Linked DNA regions of Mus musculus. The protein of the gene in region 1 purifies or fractionates together with the protein of each later gene. This does not show direct contact. Links are inferred from orthologs where the notes say so. Each region holds a gene or a part of one and is shown in the gene's direction. Other genes may lie near its edges.

Region 1 (4,325 bases):
TAGTTGAAAACTAGAACTAGACAAGAAATGAGAAGCATCATGTAAATTTGCTTTGAACTGGTTCCAAATTGTTTTATATTTAAGTTTTTCCCTTGACTGTGGAACTCTTCCCCAGAAACAAATAGTTCCTTTGCAAATCCTGTGTGTTTTTGTGAACACTAGACAGAGGCCCTCAAATGCTCCTAGTAAGGTTGGTGCAAGAACATCAAATGTTTGTAACTGGGAAGTGATGTTGTACACCTGGGAGAGGAGATCCAATGATGGATAATCAGATAGGATATCTTTGAGCTAGGAACTGTAACTTGGTGATAGACACCCTAGGGTTCCATCTCCAGCACCCCATATCCCATTACAAAATAATTCTTTTTCCATCTCTAGCATTAAAAAACAAAACAAAGAAGTTCTTCTTTCCTCTGAGAAACACTTCTGTGTGCCTGCTCTGAGAGGCATTTAAAAATGGCCAGGGCTTTAATCCCAGCAGGTCCAGGTCGGATTCCTGTGAATTTGAAGTCAGCCTGGTCTACTACCTATTCCAGGGCAGCCAGGGCTAAAAAAGAGAGACCTTGTCTCAATAACAAAACAATGCTGGTATGATCGCTAGAATTGCAGCAAAGAAAGGGATGTAACTAACAAGGCAAGCCATTTTTGAGAAGCAGTGATTTCACAAGTGTTAGGGATGGGCGCTGGGAGATTGCTGATGCTGGTATTTAGATGAGACCATGTGGGGTGGATTAGATTATTTTCAGGTTTCTCATGTTCAATCAAATGGCTGTACATACACATGTACACATACAATCTTTTTAGTGTAACAAACCTAGAATCAAAGTAAAGCTAACTGTAGGATTGAAGCATATTCTGAACTGAACCCTTAGGGGTGTGAAGGCCGCTTCAGGTTTCCAGAGAATCAACCGGCATTGGATGGAATAAACCAAGGGGCCAGCCCAGGGGCAGATCGGTCGAGCTCTCCGCTACTGAGCTAAGCCCTTGGGTTCTAGAGCCGGGAAGGGTCCCCAACATTGTGTTCCTCTCCCAGCCAGGAGAGCATGGGCTGCGGGAGGCGAACAGAAGGATAGCGGGGCTGACGTCGGGAGGTGGCCTCCGTGGGAAGGGACACCCGGATCTTGACACAGCCTTGGCAGCGGAGTAAGGAAGAGTAGGGATAGATTCTGGCCGCCCTCTTGGCCAGCTTCTCGCCGCCCCACCCTCCGCTAGGGCCAAGAGTAATTCATACAAAAGGAGGGATCGCCTTCGCCTGGGGAAGTCCCAGGGACCGTCGCTAAATTCTCATAACCCATAATCCCGGTACCCGCCCCACCACAGTGCGAGGAGCATGCGCTCAGGGCTGAGCGCGGGGAGAGCAGAGCACACAAGCTCATAGACCCTGGTCGTGGGGGGAGGGGCGCACTGAGCGGGGGGGGGGGGGGTGATGGGGGGGAGGACCGGGGAGCTGGCGCGGGGCAAACTGGGAAAGCGGTGTCGTGTGCTGGCTCCGCCCTCTTCCCGAGGGTGGGGGAGAACGGTATATAAGTGCGGCAGTCGCCTTGGACGTTCTTTTTCGCAACGGGTTTGCCGTCAGAACGCAGGTGAGGGGCGGGTGTGGCTTCCGCGGGCCGCCGAGCTGGAGGTCCTGCTCCGAGCGGGCCGGGCCCCGCTGTCGTCGGCGGGGATTAGCTGCGAGCATTCCCGCTTCGAGTTGCGGGCGGCGCGGGAGGCAGAGTGCGAGGCCTAGCGGCAACCCCGTAGCCTCGCCTCGTGTCCGGCTTGAGGCCTAGCGTGGTGTCCGCGCCGCCGCCGCGTGCTACTCCGGCCGCACTCTGGTCTTTTTTTTTTTGTTGTTGTTGTTGCCCTGCTGCCTTCGATTGCCGTTCAGCAATAGGGGCTAACAAAGGGAGGGTGCGGGGCTTGCTCGCCCGGAGCCCGGAGAGGTCATGGTTGGGGAGGAATGGAGGGACAGGAGTGGCGGCTGGGGCCCGCCCGCCTTCGGAGCACATGTCCGACGCCACCTGGATGGGGCGAGGCCTGGGGTTTTTCCCGAAGCAACCAGGCTGGGGTTAGCGTGCCGAGGCCATGTGGCCCCAGCACCCGGCACGATCTGGCTTGGCGGCGCCGCGTTGCCCTGCCTCCCTAACTAGGGTGAGGCCATCCCGTCCGGCACCAGTTGCGTGCGTGGAAAGATGGCCGCTCCCGGGCCCTGTTGCAAGGAGCTCAAAATGGAGGACGCGGCAGCCCGGTGGAGCGGGCGGGTGAGTCACCCACACAAAGGAAGAGGGCCTGGTCCCTCACCGGCTGCTGCTTCCTGTGACCCCGTGGTCCTATCGGCCGCAATAGTCACCTCGGGCTTTTGAGCACGGCTAGTCGCGGCGGGGGGAGGGGATGTAATGGCGTTGGAGTTTGTTCACATTTGGTGGGTGGAGACTAGTCAGGCCAGCCTGGCGCTGGAAGTCATTTTTGGAATTTGTCCCCTTGAGTTTTGAGCGGAGCTAATTCTCGGGCTTCTTAGCGGTTCAAAGGTATCTTTTAAACCCTTTTTTAGGTGTTGTGAAAACCACCGCTAATTCAAAGCAAAAATGGGAAAGGAAAAGACTCACATCAACATCGTCGTAATCGGACACGTAGATTCCGGCAAGTCCACCACAACCGGCCACCTGATCTACAAATGTGGTGGAATCGACAAGCGAACCATCGAAAAGTTTGAGAAGGAGGCTGCTGAGGCAAGTATAAGGCAAAAGGAGGGATGGGAATTCTTTAAGCAGGGAGTAGAACCTAGGTCTTGGGTGTACTAATTAGAAGTCACTTTGCAGATGGGAAAGGGCTCCTTCAAGTACGCCTGGGTCTTAGACAAACTGAAAGCTGAGCGTGAGCGTGGTATCACTATTGACATCTCCCTGTGGAAATTCGAGACCAGCAAATACTATGTGACCATCATTGATGCCCCAGGACACAGAGACTTCATCAAAAACATGATTACAGGCACATCCCAGGTGTGTAAAATTTACCCATTCCTGACTCAGGATATTTTTTAGTGGGGTGCTTTCTCTGAGATAATGGTATATGATTGTCTTGTTTCTTACAGGCTGACTGTGCTGTCCTGATTGTTGCTGCTGGTGTTGGTGAATTTGAAGCTGGTATCTCCAAGAACGGGCAGACCCGCGAGCATGCTCTTCTGGCTTACACCCTGGGTGTGAAACAGCTGATTGTTGGTGTCAACAAAATGGATTCCACCGAGCCACCATACAGTCAGAAGAGATACGAGGAAATCGTTAAGGAAGTCAGCACCTACATTAAGAAAATTGGCTACAACCCTGACACAGTAGCATTTGTGCCAATTTCTGGTTGGAATGGTGACAACATGCTGGAGCCAAGTGCTAATGTAAGTGACTTTTAAGGTAGTTGAATGGAGAAAGCCGCAATAAGTAAGGAGGTTATAATTGACTGCCTGTGTTTTAGATGCCTTGGTTCAAGGGATGGAAAGTCACCCGCAAAGATGGCAGTGCCAGTGGCACCACGCTGCTGGAAGCTTTGGATTGTATCCTACCACCAACTCGTCCAACTGACAAGCCCCTGCGACTGCCCCTCCAGGATGTCTATAAAATTGGAGGTAAGTAGAATATTAAGTAGAATGTTGACGTGAATTTGAAGTCTTATGTTTTGTGTATTAAATACTTATACAAAACAATACTATTTTAGGCATTGGCACTGTCCCTGTGGGCCGAGTGGAGACTGGTGTTCTCAAGCCTGGCATGGTGGTTACCTTTGCTCCAGTCAATGTAACAACTGAAGTCAAGTCTGTTGAAATGCACCATGAAGCTTTGAGTGAAGCTCTTCCTGGGGACAATGTGGGCTTCAATGTAAAGAACGTGTCGGTCAAAGATGTTAGACGAGGCAATGTTGCTGGTGACAGCAAAAACGACCCACCAATGGAAGCAGCTGGCTTCACTGCTCAGGTGACACATTTTTAAGATAGGTGGCTAGATTGGTTGTGTGTGCAGAATCACAAGGCAAGACTTAAATACACGCTGTTTTTCTTAGGTGATTATCCTGAACCATCCAGGCCAAATCAGTGCTGGCTACGCTCCTGTTCTGGATTGTCACACAGCCCACATAGCATGCAAGTTTGCTGAGCTTAAAGAAAAGATCGATCGTCGTTCTGGTAAGAAGCTGGAAGATGGCCCCAAGTTCCTGAAGTCTGGCGATGCTGCCATTGTTGATATGGTCCCTGGCAAGCCCATGTGTGTTGAGAGCTTCTCTGACTACCCTCCACTTGGTAAGCCTGATCTGAGTCTGCTACACTGAACATCAAGTTTGTAATAGGAAATGTTGCTTGC
Region 2 (4,083 bases), on another chromosome or scaffold:
GATTATCCCAACAGGCCTTTCTCCCCCAACCCCCCTTTCTTTTCTTCTTCTTTTTTTCTTGGTTTTTCGAGACAGGGTTTCTCTGTGTAGCTCTGGCTGTCCTCGAACTCAAGAAATCCGCCTGCCTCTGCCTCACACTCATAAGTGCTGGGATTAAAGGCATGCGCCACCACTGCCAGGCTAGCAGTGGCCTCTCAAAAGCACTGCGAACTTATGTTTTCCCTCTAGGTTTGAGCTTTAGTAGACCAGCTGGAGTGCTTCTGCCTTTGGGTCCCCTGCCCTTCCTTCACGTGACTCCATGTCAGGCAGTGAGCGCTCAGCACCTAGAGCCCCTTTCCTGTTTTACCTGGGTTAGATCCGAGGATCTTCCGCGAACTGGCGGTGCACTCCGTTACCAAAAGCCTGACATGGCCTTGAGCACACCCCATCAGTACGCTTTCTAAAAGCATAAGATAAATACAAGCAAGAGACGCGGAACGCACGGTGCATTTACCAACGCCAGGGAATTACCAACCTTTCATTCCCTACAGCAACAGCTCCCAGCAGCCAGGCACTGCTTGTGAAAGACCCCCAAGCTGGGTAGTCAATCACTCTGAGGAGACCCTCCCAAGGATCAGCGAGGCCACGATTCGGATGCAACAGCAAAAGGCTTTATTGGGAACACGGGTACCCGGGCGACTCAGTCTATCGGATGACTGGCGCGCCGAGTGTGGAGTACTTACCCTTCTTATAGGGCTAGGGCTGGGGGGCAAAAAGCGCGGGTACAGAAGCGAGAAGCGAGCTGATTGGTTAGTTTAAATAAGGCTTGGGGTATTTCCCGGTCATTTGGGGAACCTGAAACTGAGGTGGGACTTTCCAGAAACTGTTGCTGGTTTCGCTTTATCTGAGTACCATCTGTTCTTGGCCCTGAGCCGGGGCCCAGGTGCTTGACCACAGATATCCTGTTTGGCCCCTGTCCCGGTATTATTCAGCCTTATTCTTTAACTAAACTTCCTTGTAACTTTTGAGAACTCAGCTCTGGTACTTTATCATGCCTTGCAAAATGGCGTTACTGCAGCTAACTTGCTAAGCCTTATGGTGGGGTCTTTCACTTGGAGCAGCCCGAGATTCTGCAGCTCGCCCTGCAAAAGGCGGAAACCTGGGACCAAGCACGCACTCCAGACACTAGGGCTTTCGTTTTCCCGCGCTCTAGACACGAAGACCCCGGGCTGCCCGCGGCGGCGCCTGACCCGAGGGCCACGGGCTGCCCGCGGCGGCGCCTGACCCAGACCCAGGCTCGTCCCGGCACGCGGGTTCCCGTCTCCGTGCTGCACGAGCCACTCTGGCCCCTGCTTGACCCGTCCGGCAGCGGTGGGCCGCGCACGGACCCTCGGGATCGCGCACGCACAGGCGGGGCCCGGCAGCCCTGCGAGGACCCGAGTCCGGAAACGTGCGCTGTCACAAAGGGGGGGACACGTGGGTGCCGCTGTCCCGGCCGCGTTCTCCCGCAGCGGGAGAGCTGCCTCCGCTGCCCGCCACCTCCACCCCGGCCGCCCTGTGGGGCCGCGGCCGTAGCCGGCCGAGTGTGATCGCCGCCTTCAGTACGTACACGCGGCGCGGCCTCCCCTCTCCAACCCGAGGGGGCGGGCGATCGGGGTCCCGCCTCCTCCTCTAGGCGCTGCTGGCGGCTGCTCGGCCAGGCCTAGGGTCCGGCCGGGCGCCTGCGTACCTTGCAGCACGTGCTCAGGTCCCCTCCTCAATCTGCCGGGTCTCTCCTCAGGTCACTGCACCGCGTTCGGACCCTGCACAGCCATGTCCATCCTCTACGTCTCTCCTCACCCCGACGCCTTCCCCAGCCTCCGAGCCCTCATCGCTGCCCGATACGGGGAAGCTGGTGACGGTCCCGGGTGGGGAGGCCCTCACCCCCGCATCTGCTTGCAGCCTCCCCCGAGCAGCCGGACTCCATTCCCTCCGCCTCGCCTGCCCGCCCTGGAGCAGGGACCTGGCGGCCTGTGGGTGTGGGGGGCCCCGGCTGTAGCTCAGCTGTTGTGGCCTGCAGGCCTGGGGGGACCCGGGGGCAGCCGGGCAGCTGTCCTGGTCCAGCAGTGGGTCAGTTATGCTGACACGGAGCTCATACCCGCTGCCTGCGGGGCGACCCTGCCTGCCCTGGGACTTCGAGGTCCTGGTCAGGATCCCCAGGTGAGAGGGAAGAAAAAGGGAGAAATTCTGACTACACAAACAGGATTGGGAAGAATCCCACGAAAAAAGTCGGTTGTCAGGCGGTCGCATCTCTGCCTGCCACCTGGTGTAGTAACTTTGGGAACACTTTTTCTCGAGCCTTGGTCTTCTATGTCTGAGAATGCAAGATGATGAAATCTCTTCCTTCCTCCGGGGGTGTGATACATGAGCGCCCGGGAGTGGAGCGTGGTTTTGCTGTTTTCACTACGTTTGGAGTGTGTGTGTGTGTGTGTGTGTGTGTGTGTGTGTGTCTTTAAATTAGGTCTCGCTCTAACTGAATGGCTCGGAACGAACGCACTGGTGTGCCAAGCATTCCCAAGTCTGTCTTTGGGTTTCTGTTGCCATGTTTAAAACAACATGACCAAAAGCGCCTTGGGAAAGAAAGGAATTGTTTCAGGTTACAGCTCTCCATCACTGAAGGAAGTCAGACCAGTGACTGGAAGCAGAAACAAAAAGAGGCCGTGCAGGACCGATACTTTCTGGCTCACTTTCCACAGCTTGTTCAGCCTGCTCTTTTATACCGTCCAGGGCTGCTTTGCCAGGGGTGGTATCCCCTACAATGGACTGGCCCTCCACATAATCATTAGTTAAGAAAACGTCCCCACACGCTTACCCACAGGCCAGTCTGGTGGGGACATTTTCCCAATTGAGTTTCCCACTTCGCACGGGCCACTGGCTTAGGTGAGGTTGACAAGGCCCTGGTTGGCAAGTGTGACAGGGATGCAGGATGTGAGCGGTTTTATGTTGAACTGTAGGGAAGACTGGGGAGAGATGACAGTTGCTGGGAGGAGTCAGAGGAGGCTTGAAGTTGAAGGAGAGGCAGGGAGAGGACAGATGACACACCAGATTGTTTCTGTGAGTCCTTCCAGGGTAGACCTGTGTCTGCCTTAACTGAAAGCTCTGCCCCTGCAGGGTAGGGAGTGCATGGTGGCTGCCTAGTGTCACTTCAGTGGGGGAATGAAGGAACAGTGCAGATGGTGACTGGCTTCTTCATATCTGGATGGACTAACAGAGAGCCTCATTCCTGCGGGGTAGTACTTCAGACCTGCGCTCATTTGTGGTTTTCCTGGGTGAAATCTATTGATGCCCAGACCTGGCAGTCTTGTTTCATATAATCCTTTAACTTTAGAGCCTGATATGTTTCCTTGGACTCATAAACTTAAGTGTTTAGTGATAACTTGTTGGATAAATCACACACACAAAATACTTGTGTGTATTCGATTTTTATTTTATGTGTATAAGTGTTTTGCTTGTGTGTGTGTGTGTGTGTGTGTGTGTACACTTGTGTGCCTAGTGGCCAAGGAATCTGGGGACATGTAACGAGGTGTTGTCATAACTTGGTTTACGGACTGTTGTGCACCACCATGTGGGCTCCTGGAACCAAACTCTCTAAGAGCAGCCAGTGTTACAAACGCTGATCTGTGTCATTCACCTCTCCAGTCCTATAATGTATATAATCCAGGGGCCTCCTGCATGCTATGCTAAGTACTCTTCCTTGAACTTTCAGCCAGACTAGAGTTTTGTTGTTGCTTTAAGACAGGGTCTTAACTATGTAGCCTTACCTGAAGTGGGACTGGTTGTGAAGACTAGCAAGCTTTAAAGGCAGATCCCTCTGCCTTGCCTTCGGAGACCTAGGGTTAAGGGCATGGTACCACACCCAGGAGAACTATTTATAGTGACCTTGTGAATGAGGAAGGAAGGAGCCTGAGACCTGGTGGTCAGTGGCTTGAGTCTGGGAAGGTCGTGGACAGGTGGAGTAGTGGCTCTTAACCTTGCCCAGGTCAGGACCCTTCTGAGGGGATGGAAATGACCCTTTCACGGGGGTCACCAAGAAAAACATTGAAAGACAGATATTAAGATTCATTA
Region 3 (4,263 bases), on another chromosome or scaffold:
CACAAGGAGGTGGGTGGGGCGGGTGCCTGTGAAAGTTAAAGGACACCCTTTGAAAGTCAGTTCTTTCTTTCCATCAATGTGGGTCCTGGAGATCTAACTCAGGATGTCAGGATTGGCAAGCATCATTTCCAACTAAGATCTTTCCCAGCTCTAATATGTATTTTAGACATAGTATCTACCAAATAGGAACAAAAATAGCCAGTCAAGTCAGGGATGTAGCTCAGTTAGTAGAGTCCTTACCTAATCACACACAAAGTTCTCCGTTCAATCCTCACATCTCAGCCTCCCCTTTCTGGAATTACAGACAGGTACCATCATCACACCCTGGCTCTAATATCTTGGCTGTATCTTATAAAAGTAACTTTCTAAAAGGCGCTGATGAGCTGGCTTAGAATATTAGATTTAGTGATGGGGTGGGGGTGGATCCCAGAAATCTGTTTGGTCTTACAGACATGAACCTCACAAACTTGAAGACACCGCAGCTTCCTGATCTGCAGCGGACTCCAGGCTAACTTTTTAAGATTCATTTTTAGTTTATGTGTGCATGTGCTTATCTGTGTGTGGGTAATGTGCACTTCTAAGTGCCGGTGCTCACAGTCCAAAAGAGAGTGGAGAATTCCCTGATAAGGTTACATGGCAGCTGGGAGTCTTCTGACTGGGCTAGTGGGAACCGAACTCGGATCCTCTCTGCAAGGCACTCTTAACCGCTTGACTCTCCCTCCAGCTCCGACTGAGCTAACTTTTAGTTTTTGTCAGTTCTCCCCGTCGGTGGAATGAATAAAATACTACCCAACATGATCACCGGGCTAGACAAAAACAAACAGTAGCGTGGACAGGTTCAAGACAGCAACTAAACCGATGCCTGAGGTTTAAGTCTCTCGTGACCCTGGGAGATGAACCGGTCTCCTGATGACAGGGCCATCTCCTGTCTTCCCCTGCAAAGAGAGAGTAGCTCGCAAGCCCGGACTCCCAAAGGTCTCCTGATCGGCTTAGGCTCCATCAGACCAGAAACCAAGGCTCATAACCCTCACCTGCCGGCTCTCCCGGGTTCCAGAGGTGGCGGGGCAGGAGCTGGTACCCAGTCAAGGGCAAGAGGAGAACGGCTTGTCTGACCTATGGGATGCAGACCTGCCAAAAAAGAAAACACCACTCGAAGCGCTTCAACTTGCCCACTTCAACGCGTCCTCACCTTTCCTCCGGAGCCCACCGAGTAGTTCCGCGGACCTGTCCGGGTCTCCCTGACCCCTCAAAACCCTGGCCGCTAAGTCAATATGGCGGCCACGGCAACCTCTGTCAGCCCGACCTGGAGGACGGAAAGCCAGGAGGGACTAGAAACACAGATTCGACTGTTTTTCCCCGTCTTCGGACCTGTTCGGCAATTTCCGAGAGCGAGCCCGGGAGGAAGCGGAGAAGACGACTTGGACCTGCAGTTCCGCCGGAAGTAGCCGAGGCCTTGCGTCCGAGCGCTTTCGTTCAACTCCGGCTCCTCAGAGGGCGTTTCCCTTCGTTTCGGAGTCCTTGGAGCGAAGGCATTTTAAAATGCCTCCTTTATTAATTTTCTTCCAAAGACAAGGGAAGGCCGGCGGACGACCTGTGGGCCCTTTAGTTACCAAGTCGCAGTGGTACGCGGAGGACCGAGACTAGGAACGGACCTTGACCTTTAACCTCTAGCCGGGGCGGCGGAGGGAAACGCCTCCGTCTCTATATAAGGAGTTTTCCGGACGCTCTGGGTCCTTTTTTTCCCTCAGCGCTGGCCGCGGCCTCCCGGCGCTCTCGTCCTCCGCTTTTGCACAGCTCCCCGTTCCAGCCTTCGCCATGGGATTCGGAGACCTGAAAACCCCTGCCGGCCTCCAGGTGCTCAACGATTACCTGGCGGACAAGAGCTACATTGAGGGGTGAGCAGGAGCCGAGAGGCTGGGGGGCCGGGGCCACGTGGCGCGGGCTCGGCGGGAAGGAAGCGGGTCTCCGGATGCTGGGGGACGCCGAGTCAGTGCTCCCGGGGCCGGGATGCCAATGGAGCGGGACCTCCCGGGAGGGGCTGCCAGCATTATAATTGAGATGATGCTTGCTCTCCGTGTGCCCACGTCCAGCTGGTTCTTCCGCGTCTTTGGACAAGTTAGTTTGTTAGTTGAAACCTGTGGCAAGTCTGGTGGGATGAGTTCTCCTGGGTGGCAGATAGTTCTTGGGCTTGCCTAGATTCAAACATGTTCTGTGTCCTTTCAATGAGAAGCAACTTAGGCTAGCCCTGTAATTGTTCTCACTAGTTAGCTTGACGGATATGGGCTATGTCATTTACCAGCTAGTGTTTGTGTCTTTTCTTTTAAAGGTCTGTGCACTTGTTTTTGTGTCACTGGCAGGTACGTGCCATCACAAGCAGACGTGGCAGTATTTGAAGCAGTTTCTGGTCCACCACCTGCTGACCTGTGTCATGCCCTACGTTGGTATAATCACATCAAGTCGTATGAAAAAGAAAAGGCCAGGTAAAGGTATCTTTGTGCTACCTGGATTTTCACATGCAAAGTAGGGACCGGGTTAAAGTTGGCTTTAGCATTGCTGACCTAGTGTGAGCTGAATTTCTTTGTGACCTTACAAGGCCAAGAGACTGAAGTCCTCCATTTTCTCACAGAACAGGTAGAACATGGACAACCGCAGTTCACCTTTCCCACACCTCTCTGATCATGTGCTTTGGACCTGGGGGGGCCACCGCTGGGGTGTGAGGGTAGCTCGCTCATTCGGTCCCTGGCCATTCTTCTGAAACTACCAGCAAGGGTGGAAGTTTGGGGAAGTGGATTCCAGTTCACTAAGAATGGAAGTGAGCATACTTAATGAAATCTCAAACAGATGTTCATTCTGAAAGAGTAAGCCGTAGTGAGTACTGAATACAATGTCTCCCATGGGTGAAGAGTAAAGTTATTTGCCTGGGATTGTGCTAAAGGTTAAATAACCAGAAGAGAGTGGGAGTTCCTGGGAAAGGAAGATTGTGTGTTTTGCCTAGAAAGGGCTTTGACACTGACCTAATGTGGCAGAATGTTTGTTTTCAAGCCTGCCGGGAGTGAAGAAATCTTTGGGCAAGTATGGCCCTAGCAGTGTAGAAGACACCACAGGAAGTGGAGCTGCAGATGCTAAGGATGATGACGACATTGATCTCTTTGGATCTGATGATGAGGAGGTATGACTTCATCTTTATCCAAGCATATTGAGAAGCCTGAGGACAGATGCCATAGCCACTCCCTGGATGGATCCTGGCGTGGCTTTATTGTCTGCCTTTTAAAATTTATCACTGGGTACATGATGAATAAAATCAAATCACCTTCTTTCGGCTGAGCTCCTGATGGATTTGCTTTTTCTGATAAATCTGGTGGGTTTTGTGATGACCTTGTCACTACATTTAAGCAGAAGATAACCAACTTTGTGAAACATCTTTTCTCTGTACAGGAAAGTGAGGAAGCAAAGAAGCTACGAGAAGAACGCCTTGCACAGTATGAGTCCAAGAAAGCTAAAAGTGGGTAATCTTCATTGTTAGTAGTGTTGATTTCAGGAGCTTGTCCAGTGCTTGCCCTAAAGTGGATTTTCCCCAGTTAAATTGAATGGGTCAATATTTTAAAACTTCCACAGCTACTGGTCTACAGCTGTCTTTATGGTAGCAGTTGTAGCATTCCTCTGTGGGAAAGAAACTGTTACACAATTTAATGCCTCTTTCTTAGCCACACAGGAGGAGGATTATGTGTGACAGACACAAGGCAAATTGTGTGTGTGTTTGACAAAAAGATGGTCTGTTTTAAAACAAATTTGAGATTTGACTTAATGGTGAAAGTGTTGAGTGTTTAGGTGCACTTCTTAATCTTCCTTAGAGCCTGCAGTTGTTGCGAAGTCTTCCATCCTACTAGACGTGAAGCCTTGGGATGATGAGACGGACATGACAAAACTAGAGGAGTGTGTCCGAAGCATTCAAGCAGATGGCCTGGTGTGGGGCTCCTGTAAGTGTGATGCTTGTGTTTTAGGGATTTGTGCGTTTTCCCGTAAGGATTTCCTAACATTTACCCCTTGATGTTCTTTTTTAGCTAAATTGGTTCCAGTGGGATATGGAATTAAAAAGCTTCAAATACAGTGTGTAGTTGAAGATGATAAGGTTGGAACGGATATGCTGGAAGAGCAAATTACTGCTTTTGAGGACTACGTACAGTCCATGGATGTGGCTGCTTTTAACAAGATTTAAATCATTCTTAAGTCAGTGCACTTAAATAAAAGCTTGAAAGATAACCC
Region 4 (4,079 bases), on another chromosome or scaffold:
GTAGCCTCTTTAGTCTCTCATTACCATAGAAAACCAGTGTGTGGCAAGAAGAGTCCTTTTGTTTGTTTGGCGTGGTGATTTACTTATGCTTAGTGCAAGGTGTGGTACTCTCAGGAGGTATGGCATTGTTGGAGGAGGTTTGCCACTGTGGATGTAGGACTTTGAAGAGATCTATATCTACTCAAGCTCTGCCCAGAGTGAGACAAGCAGTCTCTCCTTACTGCCTTCAAATTGGCTTGCTGAACTCTCAGCTCCTTCTCCAGCACTATGTCTGCCTGGATGCTGCTATAATGATAATGAACTGAACCCCTGAAAATTTAAGCCAGCTACAAGTGATATTTTCCTTTATAAAAGTTGCCTCAGTCATGGCATCTTTTCACAGTAATGGGTACACTAAGACAGTTTGGTTTTAGTCTTTTGAGACAGGGTTTCTTTGTGTAGTCTTGGCCATCCTAGAACTAGCTCTGTAGACCAGACTGGCTTTGAACTCACAGTGATCTACCTCTGGGATTAAAGGCATGTGCCTCAACTGCTGGACTAAGAACTGTCTTTCTTGAGCTGCATTCAGTGGCAAAGACCTTTGATCCTAACACTTAGGAGGCAGTGTCAAGCTGATGTCAGATCATGACCAGCTTGGTCTATAGGAAAAGTTCCAAGGCAGCCAGGACTACACAGAAAAACCCTATCTCAGAAAGAAATAATTGTCTTTCTTACCTGTCTCAGTCCTACTTCAGCTCCAAATTATCAGCTGAACTAAATCTACGCTCATTGATCTTAATTTCTAGCATCTTCTTTATTTGCCACACCCCACACTGTTTTTTAAATAATTCATTCGTGAAGCAAAATTTAAAGTAGATGACTGTTAACACAACGATTAACTATATGCACGGAGGGTGGCTTATAGTGGGGGATCAGCCAGACTTTGCATCCTATTCAAAACTCTTAAGCAGTACTATGTGTAGCGGCCTTAAAGCAGAGTTGGATAATAGTATTAGCGTCCCAAAATAAGGCTTTATATCATATTTTGTATTATCACTACTGACATGTTAAACAGAGACCCTGTAGCCTGTAAAATCTACAGAAGTAAGGAATTTCGTATGCTAAGGTAGTTGTTGCTAACGCACTTTCAACAGACTGGCTGTCACAAGTCTCTCTCAAAGAACTACAAGGCCCAGAGGGCCGTTCGGTCAGAGCGCCTGCGCAGTGAGCATTTTTCCATTGTGTTCCTCGTTCCCGGGCAAGACTCGCCCGGCGACGTTGTGGCCTGCGCAGGAAGAAGCGGAAGAAGATGGCGCTCACCAGGTGGGTTGTTGATTTGGGTCCTCGATACGGAAGGGTCTGGAGTACACATCTTTTCCTTTCTGCCCGTACTGTTCGGGCTGTGACCTGGCCTGAGGCGCAGAAGTAACTTAGTCAAAACCGTGGCTGGAACCTCTCTCGGGCTTCCTCCGCGACTAGGCCGCGCCGAAGCCGGGGTCTTTCCTTCGGGGCTTCCCGGGTTGAGTTCGCCCCCCCCTGTTCCGAGAGCCCTGACATGGCCTCGCCGCGAGGACCTCACATGTGCTTCGCGTAAGCGGCGCGGTAGATTGACGAGCGCCTTGTGGACTGCGGGCTGAGATGGTTGCACTGCGAAGCCGCGGCTTATTTAACCCCGCTAAGCAAAGCTCGCCCGTCTCGTGGGAGGCTTTCCAGCCGCTTGTATGTTTTGTGCTTCTCATTTTCTCCTGCTACTCTCTCTCTCCCGAAACAAAGATTTTTGCAAAAAAAAAAAAAAAAACAAAACAAAAAAACAAAGAGTTGGGAACGTCCGAGAACCGACCAAGTTTTTTTTTAATTGACAGCAGTAGGGGCTGCTGTTGACTAAATGCGCGCCGCTCCACCTTTTAACTTTGGATCTTAGAATTTCTTTTGTACATAGAACCACCTCCGGCTTTTGCTGTTCCTGGTTGCCCTGGTTACTGTATGTAAAGTGTTTCCAACCTTTAAGGAAAAGAAAATGCTAAGTGGGAGACTTCCAAAAAGTTATGTAACTCCCAACTGCTGTAAGTGGAAAAACTTTCCATGCAAACTCAGCTGGAAAAGTCTGATTTTAAAGAAGGTATTCACTTTAGGGCCTTGGATTGTACCTGTTAAACCCACTTCTCATATTTTTTCCTGGCTCATAACAATATGAATCCTAAGAATATTTTGGTTATATGAATTAAGGTTTGTTGTCCTGCTTTGCCCTAGAGGTAGTATATGTAGAATGAAAAAAAAATTTTTTTTAAACCGGGAAGATGGACAAGTGGGTACACGGATGAAAATAGTGCAGGCGGGAGGATCTCAGAGTTCCAAGGCCAATCAGGTCTGTATAGGTAGTTTAAGGCCAGGATTTAAAAACAAAAACAGAATAACACTGACCTGGTTAGCTTTAACTGTCTGCTTAACACCTGGTCAAAAGATATCAGGTGAAAAAATTGCCTAGAACAGATTGGCTTATGGACATGTCTGGAAAGGATTGTTTTTCTTGCTAAGAGATGCAGGAAGATCCAAACCACTAATGGCTGCTCCATTCCCTAGGCGGGATATCCTGAACAGTATAAGCTAGATGAGTATAAGCCACTCTGCCAACCAGCAAGCAGCTTACATGGTGCCTAGCCTGCCTGCCTGCTTGCCTCCCTCCTTCCTTCTCTGCAAGAAAGCAAGTCCCTCTTGCTCTTGATTGTCTGTGGGATTTCACTAGCTGCCTTGACATCTCTCGTGGGTTTTAACCTGGAATTAAAAGCCAAATGTACTGGCTGGGTTTGTGTGTCAATTTGACACAAGCTCAATTTATCACACAGATAGGAGCCTCACTTAAGGAAATGCCTCCACGAGATCCAGCTGTAAGGCACTTACTCAATTAGTGATCAAAGGCGGGAGGGCCCAGCCAATTGTGGGTTGTGTCATCCCTGGGCTGGTAGTTCTGGGTTTTATAAGAAAGCGAACTGAGCAAGCCAGGGGAAGCAATCCAGAAAGCAGCAGCCTCCATGGGTACTGCATGAGCTCCTACCTCCAAGTTCCTGCCCTGTGCGAGTCCCTTTCCTTACTTTCTTTGGTGATAAACAGCATTGTGTAAGTGTAAGCTCAATAAACCCTTTCCTCCCCCTACTTGCTTCTTGGTCATGATGTTTTGTGCAAGAATACATACAGTGACTAAGACATCAGATAAGCCCTTCCTCCTGTAAATTGTGTTTTGCCGCAGTTTTTTAACAACAGCCACAGAAATGAAACTGGAACCAACAGATGATGTACTGGTACATCAACAGATGTGTGGTCCTAGCCTCGGTACAGAAAAATAAGAGTGAGTTGTGCTGACTGAGTGTTTTAGATAGCAAATATTCGAGTCTTCTTCAGGCACTATGATACAGATTAGTAGGACCATGAGAGGGAAAGTAGAATTTGAAATGGATGCACACAAGAAGAACGCCAGAGGTATAATATGTCTTGAGTGCCTATCAGCAATGCTAAAAGGTGAAGTCTCAAAATGGTCGGGCTTGAGGACTACAAAGCTTTCATTTCTGTGTTTTTAAATGTTGTTTATAAAACTAGCAAATACGGACTGGGGAGGAATAGGTCAGTGGTTCAAAGCAGTGGCTGTTCTTGCAGAGGACCTGGTATGTTTCCCAGCACCCACATGGCAGCTCAGGTTGCTCTGTCTGGTAAATGAATAGTTAATCATAATGCAGAAAGTTGGATGGTATACACATGGTCTAGACAGCTTTAATCCCAAAACTGGGGAAGCAGCTGGATCTACACAGTGAGAGTCTGTCTGCTGACAATGAAAACAGAAAAACCAATAGGAAAGCACAGTAGCATAATGTGGAATTCCTCTATAATCTCATTACTCTAGAGGCTGAGGCTAGACAGGGACAAGTTCAAGACCAGCCTGGACTACCTAAATAGGCCTTGTTAAAAATTAGGAAGGCCACCAAACCCGGACACTATTGCATATGCCAGAAAGAGTTTGCTGAAGGGACCCTGTTATAGCTGTCTCATATGAGGCTATGCCAGTGCCTGGCAAATACAGAAGTGGATGCTCACAGTCATCTATTGGATGG

Evidence for each region.
Region 2: the proteins of Eef1a1 (region 1) and Vars purify together in Homo sapiens (affinity purification with mass spectrometry; 3 studies listed by BioGRID and IntAct, counting the BioPlex papers as one, with this or other methods). This does not show direct contact. The link is inferred for Mus musculus from reciprocal best matches to the Homo sapiens genes EEF1A1 and VARS1.
Region 3: the proteins of Eef1a1 (region 1) and Eef1b2 purify together in Homo sapiens (affinity purification with mass spectrometry; 3 studies listed by BioGRID and IntAct, counting the BioPlex papers as one, with this or other methods). This does not show direct contact. The link is inferred for Mus musculus from reciprocal best matches to the Homo sapiens genes EEF1A1 and EEF1B2.
Region 4: the proteins of Eef1a1 (region 1) and Snw1 purify together in Homo sapiens (affinity purification with mass spectrometry; 3 studies listed by BioGRID and IntAct, with this or other methods). This does not show direct contact. The link is inferred for Mus musculus from reciprocal best matches to the Homo sapiens genes EEF1A1 and SNW1.

What each region holds. Positions count from the first base shown.
Region 1 is NC_000075.6:78,478,897-78,483,221, reverse strand, and holds the start of Eef1a1 (elongation factor 1-alpha 1), read left to right. Parts: upstream 1-1,497; 5' UTR 1,498-1,583; intron 1,584-2,533; 5' UTR 2,534-2,567; coding exon 2,568-2,711; intron 2,712-2,801; coding exon 2,802-2,981; intron 2,982-3,073; coding exon 3,074-3,370; intron 3,371-3,447; coding exon 3,448-3,598; intron 3,599-3,687; coding exon 3,688-3,944; intron 3,945-4,029; coding exon 4,030-4,264; intron 4,265-4,325. UniProt on the Homo sapiens protein: Translation elongation factor that catalyzes the GTP-dependent binding of aminoacyl-tRNA (aa-tRNA) to the A-site of ribosomes during the elongation phase of protein synthesis.
Region 2 is NC_000083.6:34,999,653-35,003,735, forward strand, and holds the start of Vars (valine--tRNA ligase), read left to right. Parts: upstream 1-1,254; 5' UTR 1,255-1,580; intron 1,581-1,610; exon of another isoform or gene 1,611-1,759; 5' UTR 1,760-1,791; coding exon 1,792-2,178; intron 2,179-4,083. Other genes in the region: D17H6S56E-5 (uncharacterized protein LOC110956), read right to left, coding at 347-449. UniProt on the Homo sapiens protein: Catalyzes the attachment of valine to tRNA(Val).
Region 3 is NC_000067.6:63,175,397-63,179,659, forward strand, and holds the start of Eef1b2 (elongation factor 1-beta), read left to right. Parts: upstream 1-1,434; 5' UTR 1,435-1,815; coding exon 1,816-1,895; intron 1,896-2,357; coding exon 2,358-2,480; intron 2,481-3,042; coding exon 3,043-3,169; intron 3,170-3,280; exon of another isoform or gene 3,281-3,358; intron 3,359-3,435; coding exon 3,436-3,502; intron 3,503-3,626; exon of another isoform or gene 3,627-3,739; intron 3,740-3,851; coding exon 3,852-3,977; intron 3,978-4,061; coding exon 4,062-4,216; 3' UTR 4,217-4,263. UniProt on the Homo sapiens protein: Catalytic subunit of the guanine nucleotide exchange factor (GEF) (eEF1B subcomplex) of the eukaryotic elongation factor 1 complex (eEF1).
Region 4 is NC_000078.6:87,469,471-87,473,549, reverse strand, and holds the start of Snw1 (SNW domain-containing protein 1), read left to right. Parts: upstream 1-1,250; 5' UTR 1,251-1,288; coding exon 1,289-1,302; intron 1,303-4,079. UniProt on the Homo sapiens protein: Involved in pre-mRNA splicing as component of the spliceosome. As a component of the minor spliceosome, involved in the splicing of U12-type introns in pre-mRNAs.